Linked DNA regions of Oryctolagus cuniculus. The protein of the gene in region 5 purifies or fractionates together with the protein of the main gene of each other region. This does not show direct contact. Links are inferred from orthologs where the notes say so. Each region holds a gene or a part of one and is shown on either strand. Other genes may lie near its edges.

The links.
Region 1: the proteins of FBXW11 (region 5) and UBE2R2 purify together in Homo sapiens (affinity purification with mass spectrometry; 4 studies listed by BioGRID and IntAct, with this or other methods). This does not show direct contact. The link is inferred for Oryctolagus cuniculus from reciprocal best matches to the Homo sapiens genes FBXW11 and UBE2R2.
Region 2: the proteins of FBXW11 (region 5) and RELA purify together in Homo sapiens (affinity purification with mass spectrometry; 6 studies listed by BioGRID and IntAct, counting the BioPlex papers as one, with this or other methods). This does not show direct contact. The link is inferred for Oryctolagus cuniculus from reciprocal best matches to the Homo sapiens genes FBXW11 and RELA.
Region 3: the proteins of FBXW11 (region 5) and TACC1 purify together in Homo sapiens (affinity purification with mass spectrometry; 3 studies listed by BioGRID and IntAct, counting the BioPlex papers as one, with this or other methods). This does not show direct contact. The link is inferred for Oryctolagus cuniculus from reciprocal best matches to the Homo sapiens genes FBXW11 and TACC1.
Region 4: the proteins of FBXW11 (region 5) and GBF1 purify together in Homo sapiens (affinity purification with mass spectrometry, with the first as the bait; 3 studies listed by BioGRID). This does not show direct contact. The link is inferred for Oryctolagus cuniculus from reciprocal best matches to the Homo sapiens genes FBXW11 and GBF1.
Region 6: the proteins of FBXW11 (region 5) and REST purify together in Homo sapiens (affinity purification with mass spectrometry; 7 studies listed by BioGRID and IntAct, with this or other methods). This does not show direct contact. The link is inferred for Oryctolagus cuniculus from reciprocal best matches to the Homo sapiens genes FBXW11 and REST.
Region 7: the proteins of FBXW11 (region 5) and CDC25B purify together in Homo sapiens (affinity purification with mass spectrometry; 14 studies listed by BioGRID and IntAct, counting the BioPlex papers as one, with this or other methods). This does not show direct contact. The link is inferred for Oryctolagus cuniculus from reciprocal best matches to the Homo sapiens genes FBXW11 and CDC25B.

The regions. Positions count from the first base shown.
Region 1 is NC_091432.1:196,853,168-196,857,177, forward strand, and holds the start of UBE2R2 (ubiquitin-conjugating enzyme E2 R2), read left to right. Parts: upstream 1-1,198; 5' UTR 1,199-1,774; coding exon 1,775-1,951; intron 1,952-4,010. UniProt on the Homo sapiens protein: E2 ubiquitin-conjugating enzyme that accepts ubiquitin from an E1 ubiquitin-activating protein, and catalyzes its covalent attachment to other proteins by an E3 ubiquitin-protein ligase complex.
Region 2 is NC_091432.1:6,038,309-6,042,438, forward strand, and holds the start of RELA (transcription factor p65), read left to right. Parts: upstream 1-1,327; 5' UTR 1,328-1,459; coding exon 1,460-1,466; intron 1,467-2,014; coding exon 2,015-2,041; intron 2,042-2,132; coding exon 2,133-2,284; intron 2,285-2,373; coding exon 2,374-2,522; intron 2,523-3,019; coding exon 3,020-3,111; intron 3,112-3,473; coding exon 3,474-3,605; intron 3,606-4,130. UniProt on the Homo sapiens protein: NF-kappa-B is a pleiotropic transcription factor present in almost all cell types and is the endpoint of a series of signal transduction events that are initiated by a vast array of stimuli related to many biological processes such as inflammation, immunity, differentiation, cell growth, tumorigenesis and apoptosis.
Region 3 is NC_091433.1:88,581,726-88,585,249, forward strand, and holds part of TACC1 (transforming acidic coiled-coil-containing protein 1), read left to right. Parts: intron 1-2,345; coding exon 2,346-2,466; intron 2,467-3,524. UniProt on the Homo sapiens protein: Involved in transcription regulation induced by nuclear receptors, including in T3 thyroid hormone and all-trans retinoic acid pathways. Might promote the nuclear localization of the receptors.
Region 4 is NC_091446.1:27,564,445-27,567,888, reverse strand, and holds the end of GBF1 (Golgi-specific brefeldin A-resistance guanine nucleotide exchange factor 1), read left to right. Parts: coding exon 1-91; intron 92-207; coding exon 208-338; intron 339-535; coding exon 536-637; intron 638-910; coding exon 911-1,024; intron 1,025-1,154; coding exon 1,155-1,335; intron 1,336-1,477; coding exon 1,478-1,606; intron 1,607-2,081; coding exon 2,082-2,359; 3' UTR 2,360-2,943; downstream 2,944-3,444. UniProt on the Homo sapiens protein: Guanine-nucleotide exchange factor (GEF) for members of the Arf family of small GTPases involved in trafficking in the early secretory pathway; its GEF activity initiates the coating of nascent vesicles via the localized generation of activated ARFs through replacement of GDP with GTP.
Region 5 is NC_091437.1:58,572,793-58,576,316, forward strand, and holds part of FBXW11 (F-box/WD repeat-containing protein 11), read right to left. Parts: intron 3,456-3,524; coding exon 3,206-3,455; intron 1-3,205.
Region 6 is NC_091439.1:107,748,360-107,752,335, reverse strand, and holds the start of REST (RE1-silencing transcription factor), read left to right. Parts: upstream 1-1,159; 5' UTR 1,160-1,491; intron 1,492-1,643; exon of another isoform or gene 1,644-2,269; intron 2,270-2,845; exon of another isoform or gene 2,846-3,159; intron 3,160-3,976. UniProt on the Homo sapiens protein: Transcriptional repressor which binds neuron-restrictive silencer element (NRSE) and represses neuronal gene transcription in non-neuronal cells.
Region 7 is NC_091442.1:29,126,776-29,130,878, forward strand, and holds the start of CDC25B (M-phase inducer phosphatase 2), read left to right. Parts: upstream 1-1,303; 5' UTR 1,304-1,483; coding exon 1,484-1,683; intron 1,684-2,483; coding exon 2,484-2,605; intron 2,606-3,231; coding exon 3,232-3,283; intron 3,284-4,103. UniProt on the Homo sapiens protein: Tyrosine protein phosphatase which functions as a dosage-dependent inducer of mitotic progression. Directly dephosphorylates CDK1 and stimulates its kinase activity.

The DNA.
Region 1 (4,010 bases), on a different chromosome or scaffold from region 5:
TCCAGAACACAGCTGTGCCTTTAAAGTTCTTCCTTTCAAGTTCTTGTTTATGGGCCATTTACCTTGAGTCAGTCACTATACTAAATAGTGTACATAATGATTCATTTAATCATTACAATTGCTTGTGTTAGGTGTAATTAACTCCCTTTTACAGAGGCTGATGAAGCAGGAAGAGAGAATATTAAAGTTAGGGTCAGAGCTGGAACCAAGGTCTTTCTGATCCCAAATTGTGTGGCACCCTCACGGGGTCCCAACTTCTCTAGGGAACAGTTTAGGCAGTAAGAGTCTCGCAAACCGTAAGGTATTCTAACATCATGGGGGCTGCCTCTCACTATGAAGTGACATGTCTCTTCAGTCCAGATTCTCTCAAAAGTCCCTCAATTCCAGACTGGACAAAAAGCTGAGGGCACTTAGAAGGGGTCAAAGTCCAACCACGGTATTATTATTTTTTTTTTTTACAAATGGGTGAGCTGAGGGCTGGCCAGAGCACTGGCCCCACATCACACGGAGAAGGGCCAGGAACCCAGTTTCGGTCCGTGTTATTTCTCTCATAACTTCCTCTTTGCAGTTAAGGGAAGTAGGGGCACGCCTATCGGCCTTCCCCCACCTCTCGAATGGGAAACTGCCTCTCCCCAAGGTGGTGACCTGGCCAAGAACACACTGGCATGAATGAGGGCTGGAATCGCCAAGACAGACGTCGTCAAGAGGCCTGTTCTCACCGATAAGGCCCAAATCCTCGGTGCTTCCTAATCAAGGGCCTGGTTAACAGGAGGGACTGCGAGGGGGCAGAGATGAGCCTACAGAGGACCCGGGCTCCGCTACCCCGGCCTTCGGGGTCGAGCCCTGAGGGCCCCAGAACGTGAGCCCTCTTCCGGGACACGCCTTTGGATCCGCAGCGTCGCGGTGCACAACAGTCACGTCGGGCCCAGGGGATCCGCCGCGGCCCGCCCTCGGCCCTCACTGCCGCTCGGGCCTTTAAGGGCGGAGGACACACGCCGGCGTCACAAAGCGCCGCCACCGCGCGGGCCAGCCGGGAGGAGGCGGGGAAGCGGGAGAGGAGGAGGAGGAGGAGGAGGAGGAGGAGGGCGAGGCGGGCGGGGGAGGGAGGGGCGCGCGCACGCGCGTCGGGCCGCCAGCCGCCGAGAGCCGCCCCCCTCCCGGCGCGCGCCCCTCCTCCCTCTCTCCCTCCCTCCTTCTCGGCTCCGTCGCTCCCGCGGCGCGCGGCGCTCTCGCTCTTCGCCTCCTCCTCCGCCCCTCCCCCCGCGCAGCCGCCGCCGCCGCCGCCGCAGCCGCGAGACCCCCGCGCGCCGCGCTCCCCCCGCCCCCTCTGGCCCCGCGCGCCCTCCGGCCCCGGCGGCCCCCGAGGAGAACGAGAGGGCGAGCGAGCGCGGCGCTCCCGGGCCGTCGCGGCCCCCTCCCCTTACCATCGCCGGCCCTCCGCCACCTTCCTCGGCTTCCACCTTCTCTCCCCCCCCCCAAGTTGAGGCCCCCTCCGGGGGGGGGAGGCCCGGCACCGGGAGCGAATTCCCCGAACTCCCTCTGCCCCTGCCCCCACCCGGCCGGAGTGAGGAGAAGGGCCCGGCCCGGCCCGCGTCGTGTGTGAGGAGGATCCCGGGCGGGCCCGCGGGCCGACTGGGGCCTGGTCCGGCCCGCCGGCGGTGTGAAGACAGGGGCCCGGGGCGGCCCGGCTCGAGGGCGAGCGCAGGGGAGGGGCCTGGTCCGGCCCGGCCGGTGCGTGAGGACTGGGGCCCCGGCCCGCACGGCCGCCGCCGCGATGGCCCAGCAGCAGATGACCAGCTCGCAGAAGGCCCTGATGCTGGAGCTCAAATCCCTGCAGGAGGAACCGGTGGAGGGCTTCCGGATCACCCTGGTGGATGAGTCCGACCTCTACAACTGGGAGGTGGCCATCTTCGGACCCCCCAACACCCTCTACGAAGGCGGCTACTTCAAGGTACTCCCATCCCCCGACCTGGCCGCGCGGGCCGCGGCCTCGGCTCCCCACCGCCCTCGGCTGTTTTCGGGGGCCAGGAGAGTGGGCACGGCTGAGTGAGGGGGCTCCTCGCCTCGACACCCCCTCCCCCATCCGTGGAGGCTGGAAGGCCTTGCTCACCCAGTGCCTTTTCTTTGTCATGGGGGCGGGTGCGGGAGGCCAGACTGCACCGGGAGAGAGGGAAGCCTCTCGGACTAGGGTCGTGGCTCCGGGAGGAGGAGGAGGCCTGTCTTTGTTTGCTCCCCAGCCGAGGGGGTGATGGCAGGAGAGGGGGGCTGCCTTCCCCTCCCGTCCTCCCATCACAACCCTCCCTGGCGCAGCTGGAACTGCCCCAGAGGGCAGGGTGACCTGCACCTACTGGATTGGACTTTTCTTTTTTGGGGGGTGGGGGTGGGGGAGGGGCACTAGCCTGTCATTCCAGAGGCTGCCAGTGCCCTGACATTTTGAGCGTTTGTTGGGCTGTGGTGGTTGCAACTTTGCGTTCCAGTGGCGATATTGAAGAATGGGACCCTAGGGGTGGTTAAAAAGAAAGAAAAAAAGACGGAGGGGGGGGTGCCTGCGGGATTTTTTTTGGGGGGGGGCCATTATCCACTTGAGGGAACTTTAATTTAGCCCTCTTTCTGTTCTCGTTCTCTATTTACCTCGGTCAATGGTTCTTTCAAAAATGCCCTTTGTCCTCACCCAGGCTCCCCTGCCCCCCGTGTAGAAATATCCACAGAAGGTGCAACATGTCTTGTAGGGCGACTGGTCTTTTCCCACTTTGGGGAGACAAAAATTGAAACCTTTTGCTCAGGTGGCTGGTTAACTAGCAAATGGGGTTGTCGCCCAGATGAAAAGTATCATGAGAGATGAGGCGATTTCACTGGGTGGGATGGCTCCTTAGCGACCAGAGACATTGTTTCTATTGTTTTCCATGATTTTAGGACAGTGGTTATTATTCCGGAATCTCGTGATTTTGTTTTTTTCTTTTGACCCCCAAGGCAGATATAACTTGAGTTTTTGCTTTTGTTTTTACGTTAGCATTTTTAAAGACAAGAATCACAGATTGAAGATTTCATTGTTATAAATGGTGGGGGCAGATACAGAGGAAATAGTGTTTAGGAATGCATTTAATATTTTTATTTCCACACACAAAAAAATAGGCCATTGAGTCAATTTTAGTTTGTTTTGAAGGGAGGGGTTATCTTGGCACAAGTTTTAAATGAGTATCTTAGTCATGTAGTTGTGATGTGTATTTTTAGGACTACCCAATTACTTAACTCTTGTTTTCTATGCTTCTAAAGGTGGAAGCCTCAATTTCAGACTTGAAATTAGGTCAACTTTGTAGAAAATAGGATTGATATGGAAATGTTTAATATTCACAGCTGTGATAGTCACTGAAAAGCACATGTTGAGAATATTATGAAGCCAAACCGATGGCTTTGGTTTTTTTTTTTTTTCCCCGTGGGCCACAAACAGTATACTTTTCAGATGTAGATTTTTAAAATTGCTGAGAAAAGGTGCAAGTTACTAGTGGCGAATTGGAAACGATATTGCTTGTCTATGTTGTCAAATATAAGTTTTTGTTTACAGATACTGGAAAAATTAGTTTCACAGGGTGGAATTTATATGAAAACTTTTCTAGTAAAGTATTAGCAAAATCTGGCTAGTGGTAGTGGAGTAAAGTTTAATTTCCAAAAAGTAATTTTTTGGGCCTGGTAAGTGGGTACTTGTTAGACTGGCCTTACTCCCAGGCAGTTTGTTAAAGATTGCAAATGAAAGATCATGTACTGCAAACTATAATACTTTTGCATCAGTAACTGGGGAAGGAGTGTGGAAAATCCTCTCCATTTGGAATAGGTAGTGTGGAAAGATTCTTTGTCGTTTACACTCATTAAAACCAAATGCTTTTTAATTTCAGTCCTGTTTAAAAAGAATGCTTTAATGTCTGTTTTGTTATGCTAGATTTCTTAATTTTTGAATGTTTTTACTTTTAATTCTCAAAAAAATATGAAAATTCTTAAACAGGTTTTATGTTTTG
Region 2 (4,130 bases), on a different chromosome or scaffold from region 5:
GGCCTGGGAGGGCAGTGGAGGATGGTCCAGGTCCTTGGGCCCCTGCACCCGCATGGGAGACCTATCTCTCTCTGCTTTTCAAACAAATAAATCTTAAAAAACAAACAAACAAAAAACAATGTTGCTTGCATCGTGCACACCCCATTGCGGAGTCGCGGCTGGGCTCCCCCTTCCCGCTTCCTGCTAAGGCAGACCCTGGCGGGCAGCCGGGGCAGCAGCCAAGACTCGGGGTCCCTGCCGCTCGGGCGGCGCCCGTCTGAGACCCCCGCCCGAGACCCCCGCCCCTGGCCTCAGCTGGCGCAGCTCCCCGGCTGCTGGCCGGCGTCTGGGCCGTGATGCAGGGGCGGGAGGCCGCTCTGCCTTTCAAGGAAATAAAACGCTGATTATTCGGAGTGGACGGCGCACGCGCAGCCCCCGCGGCCGGGAAGCGGACTGCGCCGGAGACACCGGCGGGTGGGCGGGGTGCTCGCTCTCTTTCACTTTTCTCTTCCTGTTTTTTCAGAGCCTGGGAAAGCAAGTCAGAATTTCCAATCTTTTCCAATTCCCACATGGTTTCCTAATTTAGTGCGAGTTCGGAGAAGATACACACACACACAAAGTCTCCCCCGCACCCCGCTTTGGGGAAGCCGCGCGCAGCCTCACCCCAGGAGAGGGTCTGTGCCAGCCCCAGGCCCGCCCCCCGCCCGCAGGGCCGCGGCGGGAGGCCCCGGGCACTCTCGCGGGGGGCGGGACCCTGCGGGTTCGGGCGGCCCCTGGGGGTCCCGGGCGTGGGCAGGCGAGCGCGCCAGGGTGCAGAGAGGAGGCTGCGGGGCCGATCCGGGCGCCTCCCGCACTCGTCTCCGATGGGCCGCCCGCGGGCCGGGGCTGGCGCGGCCGAGGGCCCGGCTCGCCCGCTGCGGGCAGTGGCCGGCGGGGACGTCGGGCGCGCCCCGCACCCCGCGCGCCCCCCGCGCCGAGACGCGTGCGGGGTGAAGCCGCCGGCTCTCCGCGCGCGGGGCGGGCGGCCGCCGCCCAGCCGCTCTGGCCGCGCTCCAGCCCGGCCCGGGTGACATCACCAAGCTCCTCCGACCCGCGGGAGGGGGCCCCCGAAATCCCCTAAAAACAAAGTGAGTAATCGGCAGGCCCGCCCTCCAGGCGGGGCTGGGACGCGGGGGCGAGCGGAGCCGCCCCGGGAGCCGCCTCCGGGCGGGCGGGCGGGTGAGCGTCGGTGTCCGGAGCGGCCGGCGTCTGCCCCCGGCCCCCGCGGGCTCGCCCCGGCGCGGCGCGCACCTGCCCGGACCCCCGCGCGGGGCGGCGGCGGCGGCGGCGGCACAGGCACAGCGCGCAGGCGCGGCCGGGTTCCGGGCAGTGACGCGGCGACGGGCGCGCGCGGCGCATTTCCGCCTCTGGCGAATGGCTCCCCTGTAGCGCGCGCCGCGGGCCCAGCTGCGACCCCGGCCCCGCCCCCGGGACCCCGGCCATGGACGGTGAGGGCGCCCCGGGAGCCGGCGGGGAGGCCGCGCCGGGGCCGCGGGGGCTGTGGCGGGACCCCCGGGCCGCCTTCCGCCGCTTCCTGCGCCGCGGGCGCTGCTGCGCCAGGGAGCGGTCCGGCCGGCCGGTGGCGCGGGGCGGGGCGGGCGGCGGGGGTCTGACTCAGTTTCCCCTCCGCGTGGAGGGGGCCTTGACCGGGGGCCCTCCCGGGGTGGGGGTGCGGGGTGAGCTTTGAGGCGAGTCCGTCGCATGGCCTCTGGGGCAGCCCTGATGGAGTTGTTATGGGAGAGGGTGTGAGTCAGTTTCCTCTCGGGTGGGGGCTGGGGGGTGGGGGGCGCCCTCCCACAGCTCCTCCGAGGACAGTGGGCCGGGCCCTGACTCGGGTTCCCTCAGCACAGCCGGGGGTCCAGACCCCGTTTGCCCTTAGGAAACAGGTGTTTCTGGCTCCTGTACCCCCCACGGAGCAGGTCCTGACTCAGTTTCCCTGGGGCGGGGGGTGGAGGGGACCTGGGCTTGTGCTGACCCTTACCTCCTCCCCTTTCAGACCTGTTCCCCCTCATCTTCCCCTCGGGTAAGTGGGCCGGCCCTGCTCGGTGGCGGGGAGGGGCTCCGGGGGCTGGGGGGCTGGGGGCAGCCCCTGATGGGACCCCCGGCCCCCGCAGAGCCAGCCCAGGCCTCGGGCCCCTTCGTGGAGATCATCGAGCAGCCCAAGCAGCGGGGCATGCGCTTCCGCTACAAGTGCGAGGGCCGCTCGGCGGGCAGCATCCCCGGCGAGCGGAGCACGGACACCACCAAGACCCACCCCACCATCAAGGTCAGTCCTGCTCCCCCTGTGGCGGGCCGGGCGCGGGGGAGGGGCCGCCGAGCCGGCCCTGCCCCCAGCACGCGCTGTACTTTGCACAGATCAATGGCTACACGGGACCCGGGACGGTGCGCATCTCCCTGGTCACCAAGGACCCCCCTCACCGGCCTCACCCGCACGAGCTGGTCGGCAAAGACTGCCGGGACGGCTTCTACGAGGCCGAGCTCTGCCCGGACCGCTGCATCCACAGGTGAGCGCCCGGGGCCGCGCTGGGCGGACTGCTCTCTCCTGCGCTCCTCCTTTCTGGGAGTGGGACTCCTGGGGGACGGGCTGGGGCCCTGACCCTGTGGCTGCCAGCGAACCTGCGGTTCCCCCGAGCGCGCACCCGCGGACAGGCTGTAGGTCGTGCAGATAAACGGTGCACGTGGTGTCAGCCGTGACTTCCAGGCTGGGAGAGAGCCCGGCCGAGGGAGGGGTGCTGGTCTCGTGGCCTGGGGGCGGGAGGCCCGGGGTGGCCTCTGTCAGCTAGGCCTTGAATGGTGAGGCTGATCGGAGAAGCCCGGAAGCATCCCGGGGCGAAGGGAGAGGTGCCGAGGTCAGGGCCTGAGGGCGGGAGGCCGTCGACAGGAGCGGTGGTGTTGCAGCGCAGGGGAGCCGCTGCAGCCGCTGCAGCCAGGACCGGGGCGGATGGGGAGGTGCAGACGGGGCACCGCGGGAGGGTCCGCGCTCTGACGGGGAGGGGCTCAGCTTCCAGAACCTGGGGATCCAGTGTGTGAAGAAGCGCGACCTGGAGCAGGCCATCAGTCAGCGCATCCAGACGAACAACAACCCCTTCCAAGGTGAGGCCCCCCAGCTGCCCGCCCCGCCCCCGCCCCCGCCCCCAGCTGCCCGCCCCGCCCCCAGCCTCCGCCCCCGCCCCCAGCCTCCGCCCCAGCCCCAGGCCTCCGCCCCCGCCCCCAGCCCCCGTCCCCCCCAGCTGCCGCCCCGCCCCCCCAGCCTCCGCCCCCACCCGGCCCCCACCCCAGGCCTCCTGGCCAAGACGCCGCAGCCGGACACCACGTCCCGGCAGGGGACAGGACTGCGGGGTCCCAGTGCAGGCCTTTGTCCGGCGCTGTGGCACCCTTCGCCAGCCCCCAGGCCAGAGCGGCCGGCCCTCCCCGCCCCGTGTGACACCTGCCCGTCCGCCCGTCCGTTGTGACAGTGCCCATAGAAGAGCAGCGTGGGGACTACGACCTGAACGCCGTGAGGCTCTGCTTCCAGGTGACAGTGCGGGACCCAGCAGGCAGGCCCCTACGCCTGCAGCCTGTCCTCTCCCATCCCATCTTTGACAACCGTGAGTGGCTCGGGGGTCACGGGCAGGGGCCGGGGTGGGCCTGGGCGGCAGGAAGGCTGGTGGGCTGGGCTGCGGCGAGCTTCTGCCCGTCGTCCGGCATCCGTGTGTCATCTCCCGTGCCCAGCCCTGCTGGCTGCAGACAGGCAGGGACAGACCCAGAGCCGTCCTTGCTCTAGAGGGTGTGGCTTCGGGGCTGGCGGGGGTCTGATAGGAAGTGGGCGTTTTCCGGATCACGTGGCGAGAGAGTGGCATGCCCCCACCTACACCACGGACTGTGGGAAGTGGACATTACGAGAGCGAGGTGTCCTGGGCGGTGACGATTCCCTGATGACAGCCCGGGAAGCTTGCAGAGGGACTGGGCGGCATCATCAGTTGCAGTTTTTAATTAAATAATGAGCAGGATGAATAAAAATAGAGCAGCGCGGGAACCCTGGGGGCAGGAAGCAGGGTCAGGAGGGACGGGCGCGTGGCCAAGGTGGGTACGATGGGGCCCGGGAGACTGCCCGGGTCAGCGTGGCTCGCGCT
Region 3 (3,524 bases), on a different chromosome or scaffold from region 5:
CTTTTAAAGATTTATTTATTTTGGGGCTGGCACTGTGGTGAAGTAGGTTAATCCTCCTCCTGCAGCACCAGCATCCCATATGGGCACTGGTTCTAGTCCTGGCTGCTCCTCTTCTGATCCAGCTATCTGCTATGGTCTGAGAAAGCAGTGGAAGATGACCCAAGTGCTTGGACCCCTGCACCCACATGGGAGATCTAGAAGAAGCTCCTGGCTCCTGGCTTCAGATTGGCACAGCTGCTGCCATTTGGGGAGTGAACCACCTAAGAAAGACCTTTCTCTGTCTGTAATTCTACCTCTCAAATAAATAAAATCTTTTTAAAAAATTATTGATTTCAAAGAGTTAGAGATCTTCCATCTGCTGATTTATACCCCATATGGCTATAATGGCCAGGTTGGGCCAAGCCAAAGCTTCATCTGGGTCTCCCACATGGGTGGCAGAAGCCCAGACACTTGGGCTATTTTCCACTGCTTTTCCCAGGTCACCAGTGGGGAGCCGGATTGGAAGTGGAGCAGCTGGGATGTGAACTGGTATCCATATGGGAACTGGCTTTGCAGGCGGCTGTTTTACCCACTGTGCTACAATACTGACCCCTGGTTTTTAAGATGTATTAATAGGGCTGGTACTATGGCATGGTAGGCTGGGCTTCCCTGTGCAGTGCTGGCATCCCATATGGGTGCTGTTTGTGTACTGGTTGCTCCTCTTCTGCTAGTGGCCTGCAAGGGTGGTGGACGATGGCCCAAGTGCTTGGGCCCCCGCACCCACGTGGGAGGCCTTGGGGAGGCTCCTGGCTTCTGGCTTTGTATCGGCTCAGCTCTGGCTGTTGTGGCCATTTGGGGAATAAACCAGTTGATGAAAGACCTTTCTCTCTGTCTCTCCCTGTCTCTGTAGCTCTGCCTCTCAAATAAATAAAATCTAAAAAAAAAAAAAAAAAAAAATAGACTTATTAACTTACTTGAAAGGCAGAGTGAGAGAGAGATTTTCCATCCTCTGGTTCACCCCCTCAAACAACCACAATAGCCAGAGTTGAAGCCAGGAGCCAGGAGCTTCATCCTGGTCTCCCACATGGGTGGCAGGGGCCCAACCACTTGGACCAGCTTCCACTGCCTTCCCAGGTGCATTGGCAGGGAGTCGAATTGGAAGCAGAGTAGCTGGGATTCAAACCTGAGAAACTGGTGTTAGAAGCTGCAGCTTAACCCACTGTGCTACAACACTAGCCTCAATAGCTTAGTTTTTCTCTTACGTTCTCGGTTAATTCTCACATCCGGTACATTTGGAACTTATGTTGGGGAATGGTATTCTCTTAAGTAGAAAGTAATCTATACTTACACATTTTACCATTTATATTCCTATTTGTAAAACTTTTAACTGTTTCCCACTCACACAGGTACTGTGTGCTTTATTGAATATCCTTCTAGATCTTTCTTTGTGTGCCTGTCCAAAATGGTTTGGAACTTTTTTTAATTAGAGTCATGTTACACACATTTCCTGTTTTCACTGAGGGTTTACCAGGCCATTTTCCCACATAGGCTTGTAGCTCAGTCTTTGCCAGGTTACAGGACTTCAGCCGTTTCTTTACTGAAAGGCGTTTCTTAGACCCAGCCCTTTCCCGTGGCAGACCACGTGGCAGGGACCACCGCGTGCTGAGTGGATGTCTCTGAGGAGATCACGGAACGTGGGATGGGGTGGCCGCGTTTCGGATCGTCCTCGTGGGGGTGGTGCCTTCCACAGGGACAGGACCAGTTCCATCTTTCCCAGCAGCGTGGGAGTCTGTTTTCTTCTCAAGGACCTAGGACGAGACCGCCCTTTTTAGTATTAGCCGTGTGGTAAATCCAAGCCTCTCACTCTCATCTGCACACCTCTGGCTCCGAGCGGAGTCTCAGCATCCTGTCGCCGTTCACCCGCTGCTTGCCCTCTGACATTTCTGGTTTCTAACATTTCCCTCTGCATCTCATTAATCAAGTCCATGTCAGTGGCTACACGTCCTGACTGTTGACTGTGATAATCCCCAAAATGATCCAGCCCACTATTACACTGGTTTTTTTTTTTTTTTTTAATCTAAGACCATCATAGAAACTGGTTTATAATTCCGTTTTCTTGTGAAAACATTGTGGTGCTTGAGATTAATTCCGTCATTGGTTTGTGCCACAGAAATTCCCTTAGCAGTTGTTCGTGAATTGGGTTCTTACTGAGTTATGTCGGTCACCAGTTCTTTCTCTTCTACGCAGTCAGTCCTTTCGGGCCTGTGTCACACGGCTGTCCATGATGAATATCCTGACTCTGGCTGTGATCGGTGGCTAACTCTGCTTTTTCTCTCTTTCTCCTATAAACCAAACACCATAAACAGAGCCAATGAAGAGATCGCTCAGGTTCGGACCAAAGCAAAGGCCGAGAGCGCGGCTCTCCACGCCGGACTCCGGAAAGAGCAGATGAAGGTGGAGTCCCTGGAGAGGGCCCTGCAGCAGAAGGTACGAGGCCAGTGGCTGCCGTCGGTCCTGGCGCTGCTTAGCTTACAGTGGATCTCAGCCCGAGAGGCCTTGCCTCTCTGTATGCAGACCTCAACCCAGCTCCTCAGTGAACTGCTTCAGGTGGAGACAAAAAGTCGAAGCATTGTTCTTCCAGGCCTGTCGTGTGAGACAGCCTCGGGCTGGGAGCAGAGAGGTCATGGTGTTGTAAGTTTGGAGGACCAAAGGCTTCTTAGGGTCACGAGACCACCCTTTTTGTTTGTCATATGTGGCTGTGTCTCTTCCCTCTTCAGTGGTTGCAGTCAGTGGTTTCCAAGTGAGGGCATCGTTGCCTTCTAGGGGATGTGGGCTGTGTCTGGAGATGGGTTTGGTTGTCACAACTGGGAGCATCCAGAGGGCAGAGGCCAGAGATGCTGCCAGACGAGGACCTGCCTGGCCCCATAGCAAGCGTTGCAAGGGCTGGGAAGCTGCTGCAGATAGTGGAGATGAGTGGTAGCCACGGCCCCTGAGGCTCGCTGTTCAGCAGTCTGAGGCTTCGCTCTTCGACTGGAGTGTCTCTTGGGTTTCCTGAGTCTCTGCTTGTGTGCTCAGGCCTGTGGCTAGAGCAGGGTCCTTATTCTGACAGTTCCTAAGCCAGTGCTATCTAGGATAATCATATGCCTGAATCCCAGGTCCCAGAGACATTGAGGGCGATCCAGACACTTGTGGTTTTCACAGGTACCCCAAGGGATTCTTGCGCTAACAGGAACACTTGGGAGCTGAGGTTCCCGGGCTAGCTCCAGCAGCCTAGTGCCTGCCCCCGCCCCCCACTCAGTCTAAACAGTGTTGTGAGCACGTGTCCGTTTCTGGAGGAGGAGGTGCCCAGCCCTTGTTTCTTCACAGGGACGGGGCACCTGTTTCTACCAAGGACCATTTGGATATTTACCATATCATTCGTGGGCCATGCAAAATGATCAGCTTAAAACATTAGCCTGCTGTAGTGGCCTTGATGGGGCTGGACCAAGTGACCCTGTGGACAGGGCACCCCCACCCCGTGCTGTGCAAGGATCGCTGAATCACTG
Region 4 (3,444 bases), on a different chromosome or scaffold from region 5:
GAGGAGCAACGCCATCTGGAGACAGGTGGCCGGAAGATCGAAGCAGATTCACGCACGCTCTGGGCCCACTGCTGGTGCCCTTTACTACAGGGTAAAGCTGGGGGATCAGATAGGGTGGAGGCAGAAGTGGAGCTGGAGCAGGGTGGGGAAGGGAGGTGTGCCAGGATCAAGATGCTTGGAGGGTCCTGACCCTGCTCTCACTCTCAGGCATTGCCTGCCTGTGCTGTGATGCCCGGCGCCAGGTGCGGATGCAGGCACTAACCTATCTGCAGCGGGCACTACTGGTACATGATCTGCAAAAACTTGATGCCCTGGAGTGGGAGTCCTGCTTTAATAAGGTAGGACTTGCTATTGGTCTCAAAGTTCAAATCCCTAACACAAAGCCAGGCACCCTGAAGAGCCTGTCATGTCAGTCTTCAGCCTGCACCGCTCCTTCCCTTCTGTTCTGTGCCCAGCCACTCCAGCCCCTGGATTCCTGGGGGCAAGGCTGCCTGACTGACCCTGCTGGGAGACACTGAAGGTATTTATCCACCAGGTGCTGTTTCCTCTATTGACCAAGCTCTTGGAGAACATTAGCCCTGCAGATATCGGTGGGATGGAGGAGACCCGGATGAGGGCTTCCACACTGCTCTCTAAGGTATTGCTCATCACCCACCTGTCCTCTCCACACCTGCCTTTTCTCAAGGAGAGGAGCCAGGGCTTCTGGTAGGACCTAGAGATGCAATGTAGGTTCTCAGGACCCCCATTTTTAGAAAATGAGCAGGACCCGGGACCTGGGAGGATTCTGGATTTCAAGAGTCTCTGATCTTGAGATTCATGTGCAAGTTAGAACAGGCTTGCCTTCTGACCCTGGAGAGCGGTGCAGAAGGCTGCTGTATTACACTTGGCTGAAGGGGCTGGCTGGCCATAGGTCTTCCTGCAGCACCTGTCTCCACTGCTGTCCCTCTCTACCTTTGCGGCCCTCTGGCTCACCATCCTGGACTTCATGGACAAGTACATGCATGCAGGCTCCAGTGACTTACTGGTATGTTCTACCTCACCTTGACCCCCATTGCCTACCTCCTTTCCCACTGGTGGGAAGACTTTCTTTCTGCCCTTTGCCATCCTCACCTATACCCCTTTCCCTCTTCTCCTGGCCCCACTACCACCTGCAGTCAGAGGCCATCCCTGAGTCTCTGAAGAACATGCTTCTGGTGATGGACACAGCGGAGATTTTCCACAGCGCAGACACACGAGGAGGCAGCCCCTCAGCCCTCTGGGAGATCACCTGGGAGCGCATTGACTGTTTCCTGCCCCACCTACGAGATGAGCTCTTTAAGCAGACTGTCATCCAGGGTAGGGGGCTCAGCCCAGCTTCATTAAAGAGTCCCCCAAGCTGAATTAGTTCTGTGTGCCCCCAGTGGGTGGAAAGGCTGGTGGGTAGCCAAGGCTCTGATGGAAAGAAAGAGTTGCCATCTGAGTTCCCTGTCCTCCCCAGACCCCATTCCCATGGAGCCTCACAGCCAAAAACCTCTGATCTCCGCCCACCTGGCTCCTGCTGCTGGTGACACCAGGACACCTGGCCACCCACCTGCCCCAGAGATACCCTCTGAGCTGGGGGCCTGTGGTGAGTCTCTCAAGGCGAGCTTGTTCTGAGGGTTGTGCAGGAAGCAGGAGGCCTAAGGGGAGGCCCAGGGTACCTTAGGATTGCTGCTGAGTAAGGACTGGGAGCCAGGGGAGGGAGGCAACCAGAGAATCCTGTTTGCCGACTGTTCCTATGGAGAACGGCAGGACTGAAGAAGCTATTACGAACTCACTGCTTGAGCCTCTTGGCTCTTGGCTCTGGGAGGAGAGGGCTGGGTCATACTTGGAAGGAACACACAGAGGTTTCCCTTAAAGGATTCTAGTAAAGACTGACCAGAATTAACCTGACAATGGGTGCAGCAAAACAATGGGGGGCTAGATAGAAGGTAGCTAAAACCGAAATGAGTTTCAAGGGGAGCCTCCCACATGGCCTGGGATGGTAATCAGGAGGAACAGAGGTTTGATGCCAGCTGGGGAGTGAGAGTTGTCTGACTGCAGCCACCTTGCTCTCCTTACAGACTTGGAGAAGCCTGACCCACGAGCCACCAGCAGCAGCTCCCCGGGATCACCAGTGGCCTCTAGCCCCAGCAGGCTGAGCCCTACCCCAGATGGGCCAACGCCACTGGCTCAGTCCCCTCTGATCCTACAACCCTTGGCCTCCCCACTGCAGGTTGGCGTGCCACCCATGACTCTGCCTATCATTCTCAACCCTGCACTCATTGAAGCCACCTCTCCGGTGCCCCTCCTGGCCACTCCACGCCCCACAGACCCCATATCCACCTCCGAGGTCAACTAAGGCAGGTCCCTCAGATACCAGGACAGATACTTCCCATCAGGCTATCCCTGCCCCGCCTTCCGGCTGTTCCAGGGGCCACAGTCCCTTCAGGCCCAGTCTAGTCCAAGCTGCTATTGCTGCCACTTGGATTGAGAAAAAGAACTCCTGTAGCCTCTGCTGGGACCCACTTCCGACTGCAGGACCTTCTTCCTCCTCTGCTCTCCAGTCCTCGGCGTCTAACCTGAGAGCACCCTCAAGTGTCACCTGCAGTGTTTATCTCCAGCTGGCAGCTCTTGGGAGGCATCACTGTGCCAACCCTTCAATGCCCGCCCATGTATCCTCCTGCCCATGGTCAGGCATTGAGAGCCAAGCCCAACCACTCTGCACTTTCTTTCCCTCCCCCAGCACCATGCCCATCAGCCCTGGGCCACCTCCTCCAGTGCTTCCTCTTTTATTAATTAGTCGGTCAGTTTAGAAAGTTGATTGGCACCGTAGATGGTGAGCTGGTGGAGCTGATTGGGGGACTGCCTGCAGGAGCATGTACATATAGAAAAACAGGACAACAACGGACTTTTTATGATGTAATAAATGTCTTAGTACCAACATCCTTGGCTTTTCCTCTAGTTTTCTCCTTGAGTTTAAGAGTCAGGGCACTGTGTTGTTGGGATGCCTGGGGCTTGGGCCTTATGCAAACAGAGGCAAAGTGAAGAAAAGCTTACCAGTAGCTGGCCCAGCTGGTGCCTGGGTCAGGATTCTTTCACTGCTGCTGCCATACCTGTGCCGTAGCAGTGCACTTTTGTCACCAGAGGTGTTCCAGGGGCTTGGGTAATTGTCCTTTTCCATAACTGCTCCAAGGGAGATATCTGATACAGCTTTGCCTGAGAGCAGAGGGAAGATAAGCAAAAGCTGAGTTGAGTTCTTTAGAAGCCTCCCATCGGAGCTGCCTCTCAGTCCCAGAGCACAAAGACACCCATGGGGCTTAAGAGGGGCCCGGGTCACCTTGCCTGCATCTGTAACCATGTGTTTCTGGGTACAGAGCATTCATTCTGACCCCAAGCTGAAGAGGGACCATTCTTCCCGCGCACAGCCCGCATCCGCCCCAGCAC
Region 5 (3,524 bases):
TTTGTGTCAGATTTTACATTTCTACGCCAGCTGACATATCACACCCAATGTAACTGATACAAAAAAAAGCTTTATCTTTCATACCCTCCTCTTTTTCAGCATAGGTCTATTTTTGATGTTTATTTTCATCTACTTGAAAGGCAGAAAAACAGAGAAAGACAGAAATAGACAGAGACAGGGAGGAATCTTCTATTCACTGATTCACTCCCCCAAATGCCTGCAAAAGCCAGAGATTGGCTGGAATGAAGCCAGGAGCTGGGGATTCTATCCAGCCCTCCCATGTGGGTGGAAGGGACCCAAGCACTTCAGTCATCTTCTGCTGCCTTCCGGATACACCAGAAGGAAGCTGGATCAGAAGAGTAGTAGCTGGGATGTAAACTGGCACTCAAGATATGAGACATGCATATTCAAAGTTACAGCTTACCCCACAGTGCTGCAATACCTGCCCCCAGCATAAGTTCTTAAATAGCTCCACTAGTTTTGAAACATCAATGCTAATATTATGTATGTGGATTAAATAATCCCCACTTTTCTGAAATCATGCTTATAGATCTATTTAATATATTTAATATATTAGGAAGCCAAATGCAGAGATATACGGCAACCTGAGAGGTGTGAATCATTTTACCAGCTGCATTTGTAGCCAAATGGGATAAATGAATATCCACATACAAAACAAGAGATAAATATCCACCTTATACCATATAAAATATGTAATTCAGAATGGATCAAAGACTTATATATAAGAGCCGAAACTACCCTTAAAACAAAACGGAGGAGTAAATCTTTGTGACACTAAATCAGGCAATGATTTCTTAGATGATAATAACAAAATAAAAATAATACAACAAAATTTAAAAATATAATTTGATGTCATCAATATTAAAATCATTAGCACATCAAAGAACAACATAAGAAAGTGAAAAGAGGGGTAGACATTTAGAGGACAAGTTAAGACACATTGTTTGGGATGCCCACATTCATTCCACAATGCCTGGGTTCAAGTCCTGGCTCTGCTTCTAATTCCAGCTTCCTGTTAATGTGCACCAAAGGAGAGAGCAGGTGATAACTCCTTGTGGGAGACATGGATTGAATTCCTGACTCCTGGTTTTGGCCTGGCCCGGCCCCACCTGTTGCAAGCATTTGGGAATTAATTAGTGGATATAAGATCTCTTTCTCTCTGTCTTTCAAACAAATAATTTTTAAAAAGAAAGTGAAGGGGCTGATGTTGTGGCACAGTGGGTTAAGCCACCACCTGCGAGGCCAGCATCCATATCAGAGCACCAGTTTGAGTCCTGGCTGTTCCAGTTCTGATCCAGCTCCTGCTAATGCACCTGGGAGAGTAGCAGAAGATGGTCCAGGTACTTGGCCCACTGCCATCCATGTGGGAGACTAGGACAGAGTTCTGGACTTCTGGCTGCAGCTCGGCCCAGCCCTGGATGTTGCTGTCATTTGGGAAATGAAATAGCATTGAAGATCTCTCTCTCTCTCACTCTGCCTTTTATATAAATAAAATAAATTTTTTAAAAAGTAAAAAAGACAACCCATAAAACAGGGTAAAATAATTTACAAATTATGTATCTGATAAGGGTCTTGTATCCAGAATACATAAAGAACACTTAAAACTCAGTGATAAAAAGACAAATTCCCTAATTTTTAAAATGGGCAACAGATTGAAACAGATATTTCTCTAAAGATGATATACAAATGGTCAATAAGCATATGAAAAGATACTGAATACCATCAGTTATTATAATCTGCAAAGCAAAACCAAAGATACTCTTTCTTGTACATCTATCAGGACAGATGTAATACAAAAGACAGGTAATAACAACTGTTGACAAGAATACGGAAAAACCTTCCAGCTGATATTACAAAACAGTTGTTTTTGCAATAAGGCCCAGACCCTGTTGACTTCAGGCACTGGTCTTGTACTCACTGCTGTGACTATGGAATAAATCAACACACAGAAATACTACGTGTTCAGTTTCCAGGCCACTTAAACCAAAGTTTGATACAATACAGTCCATGTTATGTGGAGCTAGGTATCAGAATACTGTCTAGAGCTTTTAACTGTCATTAAAAGACAGTTTTTTGAACAAGTTCAAACGCTTATATACCATTGGCATGTTTGCAAAACAGTAAGTTCATGTTGGAAAATAGTTTGGTAGTTCCCCAAAATATTAAACACAGAGTTACCATCACAAGAGAAATAAAAATACACAAACATGCAATAACTTATACATGTTTATAGTAGCACTATTCATAATAGTCAAAACCAAACTGAAACAACCACAAGCCACATGTATGATTCTAATTGTATAAAATATCTAAAACGGGCCTTTTCATAGAGACAGGTGTCAGGGTAGTGACTGCCAGGGACTGGAAGGGGCATGTGGGGATTCATTCATAATGGGTATGATGCTTCTTAAGATAAAAATCTTCCAGAACTAGATTGGGGTAATTTTAAACAACACTTCAGATAAACTAAAAGGTCACTGAATTATAGACTTCAAAATAATGAATCTTATGATATGGAAATTACATCTCAGTAAAGTTGTCATAAATACAGAAGAAAGCTAGAATTTTAAAAAGTTTTCATGGACACTGGAATCAGAATTGCAATGACCATATCTTGTGGACCATCCCAGGCTACAACTTCTCGTCCTATTTCTGCCTTCACATACACACCACAGGCTGAGCTTCCTGAAAGCATGGACAGGTCAGGCTCACCAAATCTCCAATATCCAGCCCAGGGTCAATGGCAAGGCAAGCTATCTAAGTTAAGTGAATAAAACAAGATTTGCTACTAGCTGTGTGACCTTCAACAGAGTTCTTCCCTCACCCTCTGAGCCATGGCTATGAATCAGAGGCAACACCTAAATAACAAAAAGTACGAGGATGGTTAAGTGAGATGTGACATAAAGCCCCTAGCACACAATGTGTGCTCAATGGTGTGGTTCTCTTCCTCTTGGAAATTATCAACAATGTCATTTCGTGAAATGGAAAACTATTATTCTCTTTTCTGGATCGATGACTTCCTCCTACCTTGCCTGACACTAAAAGTATGTGGAATGGGAAGGCTGCACAGGTTCATGAACATTAAAGAAGAATAAACACCTTGCCATGTACTGACCTGTCTCCACTCTCTCTCTGGTCCATAAGAGACAGAAGCAGGCAGGGCTATGATTAAAGACTCACTTACTTTGATGGTCCTGTCACCAGAGGCAGACACGATGTATTTATCATCAAAGTCTACTACATTGACAGCAGCACGGTGGCCAACCAGGACACGGCGTAGAGTGATGTCGGTGGCCGAAGCCATGTCCCACACGGCAATGGAGCGGTCCTTAGAACAGGTCACCATGAGTCCATTGCTGAAGCGTAAGTGCAGTACAGCCTCATTGTGGTGGATCAATGTGTTGAGAACTTCACCTGTGTTCACATCCCAGACTCTAAATGAAAAGAGAAATGCATGCTGCTCAATTACTGAGAAAGCCAAGAAAAGACTCTGTCCTCTAAAC
Region 6 (3,976 bases), on a different chromosome or scaffold from region 5:
CTTAAAAAAACCCATGGAACCTCAAGTCATATTTTAGTTAAAAGAAAAAAAATGAATGAATGTAGAAAAGTGTACACTAGGCCTTAAAATAGTTGGTTTTCTCTTTCTTTCCTCTTTGGTTCAATGAAGATGAACATTTTGCAAGTCTGATTTTCAGCCTTCTCAATGGCCAGTGTTTGGAATAAAGTCACTGAAAACTTTGGTAGGCAAGCACTTTAGGGAGGACTTTATCCACCTTGTGTCCGCTTCCATCTTAACCCATAGTCTGCTGTTTAGACGCAGGGAACACGAGTACAGAGGTGTAACAGGAAAACAAGAACTTAGGCAGCTGGGCGCAAATGAAAAGACCCGCAGAGATGGAACTTGAGGCGCTTCCGGGGTGGGGTGATCCTGGACAGCTGCTCTGGGACCCTGCGCCTAGCGCGCTGTGTGTCCCCTGCCCTCCCTGTCCAGGCCAGGACGCACAGTGTTCTGCTCTGGGAGGCGCGCAGACCTCCCGGGACCCGCGTCCTCCGCTGAGTCCGAGTCCCCGGGGCTGCCCGCACCACGCGGGACCCCGTCTCCGGTGCGCACGGCAGGTAAGAAGCGAGGAGCGCAGGCGTCGCCCGTCCTCGGGGCCCTCGGCTGGCGACCCCGCCCTGAAGCCCGCGCCGGGGGCTCGGCCCGTCGCCCCCCGGGTCTTCGCCCTCAGCGACGGTTCTCAATCCGCACACCCGCCTGCGGGTCTCCACGCTTAAAACGAAGCTCCAGGAGCGAAGGCAGCCGCGGCGGAGCCCCGAGGCGACTCGGAGGGGCGTTTTCCGAGCGCCGCCGCCCCCGCAGGCCGGCGACCATGCGGCTCTGAACCCGCAGGCTTTGCTCACAACGACTCCATCCTCCACGCGTGCACGCCCGGGGCCGGGGGGGGGGGTCCCGTCTGTTGTTCTGTTTAAACGGCGAGACACAGCGGGACCCGCCGCCCCCGCGACCGCTAGGGCCGGCGTGAGCGACCGGGAGGACCAGGTCCCGCGCTCCGGCCCGCGGGCGCGCCCCCGGCGGGGCCCGAGCGCTCGCGCTCCCCGCGCAGGCTGGGCGGGGCGCGTCCGCGGGCGCGCGCGCGGGGGGCGGTGGAGGGGGCGTGCCCCGCGGGCGCGCGCGGGCGGGGGCGTGTCCCGCGGGCGGCGGCGGCGGCGGCGGCGGCGCGGCCCGGGTGCGCGGCTCGGCGTCCTGTGCTGGAATGTGCGGCTCCCGCGGGCCGTCGGCGCAGCAGCAGAGCAGGCGCCGCCGAGGCCCCGGGCCCCAGACCCCGGCGGCGGCGGCGGCGGCCGGGAAGGCAGCGCGAGGGCCGGCGGAGGCTTGAGCGACGCCTGCAGCCTCGCTCTTTCGACGGCCGCGGCGCCCAACTTTTCCATCCTCCCCTCCCCTCCCTGGAAACTCCGGCAACAAAGAAAAGGAGTCGGCGAAGGAAGCGGCGACGCCGGGTCGCCCGCGCCTCCCGGCCAGGCGAGGCCGGTGAGCGCCGCGCGCGCGCGTGTGCGGGGGGCTGGGGGCTCGGCCGGGGTGGGGGAGGGCCGGCCCGGCGGCGGGAGGGGGAGGGCGCGGAAGGACGCGGAGCGAGGCGCTGTCCAGGGCTGATTTGCAGATACGGTGGCTCCGGCGGCGGCGGCCGCGCCGGGCGGGGGCGGGCGGCCGAGCGGGATCGGGTTACAGCGCGGCTGCCCGGGGGCTGGGCCGGGGGCGTCGGCGGGGAGCCGCGCGGCGCCGGGACCCCCGCCCCAGCCGAGGCGGGGCGGCCACCCCCGCCGCCGCCGCCGCTCGGAGCGCGCGGTGCTCCCGGGGCCAGGAGCGGAGCTGCTCGGGGCCCCGGTCCTGAAACTGGTCCCCCCGGTCCCCCCTGGTCCCGCAGCCCCTCGGCCCCGCCGGCACCCACCCCGCCCCCGCCCCCACCCGGCCTCTCCCTTTCGCCGGAAGGCGCCGCGGAGCGCGGCCGGCCGGGCTGAGTCAGCCGCGGGGCCCGGGCGGTGCCGCCCGCGGGGCTGGACAGCGATTTTCCGCGCTCCGGCCCGCGGGCCTCCGCTCCCCGGGCCGGCCCGGGCGGGACGCGCGCTCCGCCGGCCGCTCAGCGGAGTGAAGTTCGCAAACTTCCGGGGCGCGGGGGCGGCAGCCGGCCCGCGTGGGGGCCCCCTCGGGCGCTCGGGGCCCGGCGCCTGCGGAGGGCGCCCGCGGAGCCTGCCCGGGCCCTGCGCGGAGCGCGGCCGGGGGCGGTCGCAGGAGCCCGGCGCCGCTGGAGGTAACTTTCCGCCCTCTTGCCGGACGCGGGCCCGCGGGGCCGGGGAGGGGGCTGCCGGGGCGCGGGGCAGAGACGGCGGCCGGGCCCCCGGTGCCCGGAGTCGGGCCGCGTGTCCGGTTCGGCGTGGGGGCGCGCGTGGGGGGCGCAGCTCCCGCGAGCGGAGGGGGTGCGTGTGCGCGCGGCGAGCGGGCCGGGCCGAGAGGAAGCGAGAGCGCCCGAGTTTGCAAAGAGCTGCTTTGTGTTTGGTATTTTGAGAAAATGGCCGAATGCCTATTTGAGTGAGGAATGCCGCGGCCGGGGCCGGCGCTGGAGGCCGGGCGCAGAGGAATTCGTGCGGCACGCGGGGCTCCGGGGCCATGCTTGGCCGGCCCTGGCCGGGAGGCGCCCAAGTCGCTTCCAGGACGGCGCTGAGGGCGCCCGGCTGCGCGGCCCCGGGCCGGCCTGGCCTCCGTCCGTGTGATGGCATTTGGGGCACCTTCCGTGGGCGCACGGGACCCAGCCGCCCGCCCGTGTGCATGCACTTGGGCCAGACGCTTGCTTTTTGTTTGTGAATTTGCAGTGTAGCTTCCTTTTAGGTTTTTTTTTTTTCCTTTTTTAAATTTTTTCCCAGTAATTGTCACTTTGCTTTTTTGCTAACGTGCAAGAGGACACCTTTGAGATTGGGAAGGAGCCTGGTTAAGGCCATTTAAAAAGGCCAACTTGTTTTCAGGAAAGTGATTTTGTAATGGCTTCCTCTGGGCGAGTAGGCCAAGTGAAGGCAGTGCCAGTACGAGTTGCTGGTAGCCGAGTGGAGTTGCAGGATTGCTTTATTAGGGGGCTGAAAACTGTTTTCTTCCGTGAAGTTTCGAATCAGCCAGACTTTGTTTTTCACACGAAAAAGAGTCCATAGGGTGTGTTCCCTCCCCCCCCCCCCTTTTACGTTGGAGTCATGGGAAATTCAAGAGGGACTAAGTGGTACTTTTTGTTCACAGCAGTTTTATTCTTTTGGAGTTAGTTGAGTTCATATGAAATTCAATTAAGTTGACCAATTTTTACAGGCCTCCTACTTTACAGACGTGTTTGTGGACTTCATAAATGCAGAGAGTGGCTTGTGGATTTCCCGGGGTTCTGATTCAGACCAGTGAACCCCTGAAGGGGAGAATTTGGAGGACAAATTCCTCACTCATCAAACTTTTAGAGTAATTTTAATTAACATTAAAAAATGGAGGTTACCTTTCTCTTTTCACCAGAATTAAAAGGGCTTGATGGAAGATTTGCCAGTGATTGATCAGTTGGTGAATAAGCTATGTAAAATAATTGGTAGAAGTTTTTTCTAGGGATACTAGAAATTTTCTTGGTGACCGTAAGAGAGTTGGGAATTGATGAATATTTTGTTTCTTTTTAGTACTAAATAAAATTATGTTTAATTCTAATTTTCCACAGATTTTTAAAAGACTGACGTTTTTGTTTGAAAGGCCAGAGTGACCAGATTGAGAGAGAGAGGGATTGATCTTCCCTCCTTTGGTTCATACCCCAAATGTCCCCAGTAGGCATGCTAGGCCAGGCTTGAAGTCAGGGATCTAGGAACCCCTTTTGGGTCTTCCATGTGGGTTGCTGGAAACCAAGTACCTGAGCTGCCTCCTGGGTGCAGTAGCAGGAAGCTGGATCAGAAGTACTGAGCAATTGAAACTTGACCCAGTACATCCCAAGTAGCAGCTTCACCTGGGC
Region 7 (4,103 bases), on a different chromosome or scaffold from region 5:
TTATTTCTGATAGGTAGGGTGGGTCGCCTCCTGAGGCACAGCCCCCCTCCCCCCCCCATCCCTCCCAGCCGGTGGCTGGGCGGTGGCTGGAGGGTCAGAGCCAGACCCTTGACTGCCGAGAATGAAAGGAAACAGCACCGGGGCTGGGCAGAATGTTCAAAGTTGCTCCTCTCGGGTGGGACTGGAGCCTCCCCTCTCCTTCCCCAACCCTGCAGCGCCACCCCACCCCCCACCCCGCCACTCCCTTTCGCCAACCTCACCCAGGGGCGAGGTTCGGGCAGCGAGGGAAGGGACGCGGGTGCTCGCGACCCCTCCCTCCAAGCTGCGCTCCCCTCCTGAGCCTGTCACCCTCGGGAGGTCGCCGCTTCCCCAGGGAGACGGGGTGCGCTGCGTACCCCCCAGAAGGGGTGCAGCCCTTTGGCCTCATTCCAGGAAGACAAGGGCTCAGCTGGGAGGTGATTAGGTAATTAGAAGATGCCCAATTTAAACTAATGACAGATTCTACAAAGAAACGCCAGTTGAACAATACTATGCCATTGATACCAAGTGAGCCAAGCCACCATTGTAGGTTCTACTTCCATTACCGAGTTCTCTGGTCGCTGGCCCCTTCCTTGACGCCCCGGGTCCAGTCCAGCCGTCAGAGCCTCCCCTGGACTGCTAGAGAAAGCGGGGCCCCTGGCGGCCTCGGGCTCCCACCGGCGTCCCACCGCCTGCACTGGGCGTTCGGTCCACGAATTACCCTTTGGAGCTGCTCCGCGCTGCCAGACGCTGGGGCAAGGAGCCGGCGGGGTCAGGGGCGTCGGGCAGCGAGCGAGGGCTGGTCCCACCACTTTCCCAAATGCATGACCTTGAACAAGCCCATGAACTTCACGCCTCCACATCCGCGTCTGTGAAATGGGACGGTGAACGCAGCCCGCCCAGGGCCGCCGTGCTTGGCAAACGTGCCGGATCCTCCTGGGGCTCGCGCGCGATGTTAACCCCGGGTGCCTCTTTTCCGGACCCCCCTGGGGCCTGTGGCCCGCTCTGTCGGTGGAAGGTTCCACATTAGGTCCCAGAGCGCGGGATTCGGGGGGTCTCCACCTCGCGCCCGGGTTGGGGGTGGCGGGTGTGCAAGCCGTGGGATGGACCCCAGTTCCTCCGCCTCCCCCGAGGCTGGAGCTGGGCGGGCCGGGCTGGTCCAGCCCCCGCGCCTCTTGCTTCGCGGGCCCCGCCCCCGGGCCCGCCCTCCTCTAACCCGCGCCCCCATTGGTGGCGTCCGGCGGCGCGGCCGCTGTTATTTTTCGAATATATAAGGAGGTGGAGGTGGCAGCTGCAGTCAGAGGCTTCCCGGACTGGTGCTTGAGTCCCGCGCCCCTCACCCCTCCCCACCCTCCCCGCATCCCTCTCCTCCCTCACTCCCAGTCCCACTGCTCTTCCTCCCTCCCTCCCTTCCCCCAACCCCGGGCCCGCTCCCGGCCCCAGGCCCTCCACCCGCCCCGCCGCGATGGAGGTGCCCCGGCCGGAGCCTGCACCATGCTCGGCCCTTAGTCCGGCCGGCGTGCGCGGTGGCGTCCAGCGTCCGGGCCACCTCCCGGGCCTCCGGCTGGGGTCTCATGATCTCCTGGGGTCTCCGGAGCGCACGGCCGCTTCCTCGCCGGTCACCACCCTCACACAGACCATGCATAATCTGGCGGGGCTCGGCAGGTAGGACGCCTCCCAGAGGCTGGGCGTGGGGTGAGAGACCAGGACGGGGTCCTTCGGCTCCAGAGGAACCGCGCGTGGGAGTTGAGCACTACAGGTGGGGTGGGGATGCGGCCGGGTCAGCGCAGAGGGAGTCCCTACCCCTGCTTCAGGGGCCCTGGGCAAGGGGCATCAGACCCTCCAGGTGACCCTTTGGTCTGCGCAAGCCTCCAGGGACCCTCCTTCCCCTCCCCCTCCCTTACTGTGACTCGGCCACGGTGCCCCCCCCCACCCCAATCTCTGTCCGCATCTCCTCCATTTTCCCCAGGCGGGGAGATATGAGCCGGGAGGGGGAAGTTGAGGGTGGCAGAGCAGTGGGGTTCTCACAGGCCCATGCCTCTGCTCCCTCCACCCTGCTTCTGCCCCCAGGGTTCAGGTCATTAATCCTAATCCTGTTCCCTAAGCAAGCCTCAGGGGCTGGGCTGACTTCCCCCAGCAGCCATAGAGACCCAGGTCTCTCTCTCCAAGGAGGCCCTGGGATGGGTAGGGGTCTGAGGAGCAGAGGGCTCCCAGGGCTGCTCTCTCGGCTGCCCCACTGACCGCCACGCCAGCCCCCAGCCTCTTTGCCCTCGCCCTGTGATCACTTGCCCTGCACCTGGGAGGGCCTCTCCTAAGCCTGCCATCCAAGAGAAGGCACTTGGTGGGCTAAGCCTCCTTGTCCTGAGGAGCAGGTGGGCCCTTCAGAGCTGGGTGACTGAGAACAGGGAGGGCCTGGAGGCCTGCATTTACCTCTCTCCTTTTCTGGTACCCCCTTCCCCTCCCAGTGAGACCCCAGAGGCTCAGGCCGGGAGCCTGCTCTTCCGAAGCCGGCTGGCGCGTCTGTCCCTGTCACGGCGGGCATCCGAGTCTTCCTTGTCATCTGATTCCTCTGAGTGTTCTGATGCAGGTGAGGCCCCACACGTGGTTGGGGAGGTCTGAGTTTGGGGGGCTGCCTGGGCTGCTGGATGCCCTGCAAGGTCAGATTAACATTCTTCCCACAACCTGGTGTGCCCGGGAGCCTCCCTGCTTGGCCTGCAAAACTGGGAGGAAGACACACCTCTGGCGGGACCCACCCACCCAGCCCGGGCTGGTGGCCGGGTGGGGCCCTCTGTGGGAGGGGAGATCTCACCTATCCGAAACCAGGCACCAGAGTCCTTAAACCACACATACAGCCCCACCTGGGAGCCGCGGGAGCCTGCGAGCTGATCTGTCTACAGCATTCTCTGAGTCTGTAACTTTAAGAAGCCGTGATCTCTTCTAAAACAAATTATTTTAAACCAGTTCATGAAAAAAATGCTTAGCAAGCACTGTGGTTTTAAAATGTATAGGACAGGAGTTCCCATAGTAACAGGGAGTGGAGCCCTGTGTTGTGTGGGGACAGCATGTCAGCTCATGGCTAGGTTCTTGTCTCATTTTTTAAAGTGTGTCCAGATGGAAAGCAGAAATAGGGCTTCCTCCCCTTCCTGGGACATGCTGGGGGGAAACAGGTAGGGAACGTCACCCCTTTCAAACCCAGGCCCTCTGTCCCCACAGGTCTCTGCATGGATTCGCCCAGCCCTGTGGACCCCCAGGTGGCAGAGCAGACGTGAGTAGATGCCGGGGACCCCTACACAAAGGAGTCGCCACCTGCCTTTGGGAATCCCCGTTCTAGCAAAAGCTCGCTGGAGAGCTCTGGGAGAGTGGAAGGAGTCCTCAGGCCCCACAAAGAGGGCTCGGTGACCTGCCTTGGCCTTGGGCTTCGGCTTCCTGTCTCAGAAGTGTCTGCTTTCAGAAAGCTGGCTGAAAGTGGACGGGGGCCAGGGGTGGTGGGGACAGTGGCCCCTGGGAGCAGTGGGTACTGGACCCCAGCTGGGCCTTGTCCTATGGGAACATAAGTCCAATGTGTGTCCTGTTATCCTTTGTTGCTTCTACACATTGTTTTAAACTAGGAAATAATCACAATTTAAAAATATGTTCCAACTAACTCAGTGCTTTAATTCACTCTGTGTCAAACACAATACAGTTGCTTGCAGACTGATTGGGCCTTAGGCCCATCAGCAACCTCTGGCTTCAGACACTTGACCCCTGGCCAAGCCCTGGACCAGGTCCTTTGTGAGAGAGAGGGAGTGGACAGAGCTGGTGGGCTCTGCTGTGGACAGATACCTCCCCGTCGTGGCGGGGGGGGGGGGGCAGGAGTAATGCCATCCGCAGCACAGCTGTTCCCATCCAGCTGTTAAGACCCAAACAGGTGGAGCAGCTGCCAGCCATTAGTAGGGACAGCTGAGCATCCCTCTCCTGGGCTGGAGGTCTCTGGCTGTGGGTTTAAGGCATCAGCGGCTATGACTGCTGTTCCTCCTGTTGCCTTTGATCAGACTGGGCTGGGCTGCAGAGTTTGTTCACAAACAGGAAATGGGGAGAGAATTGGG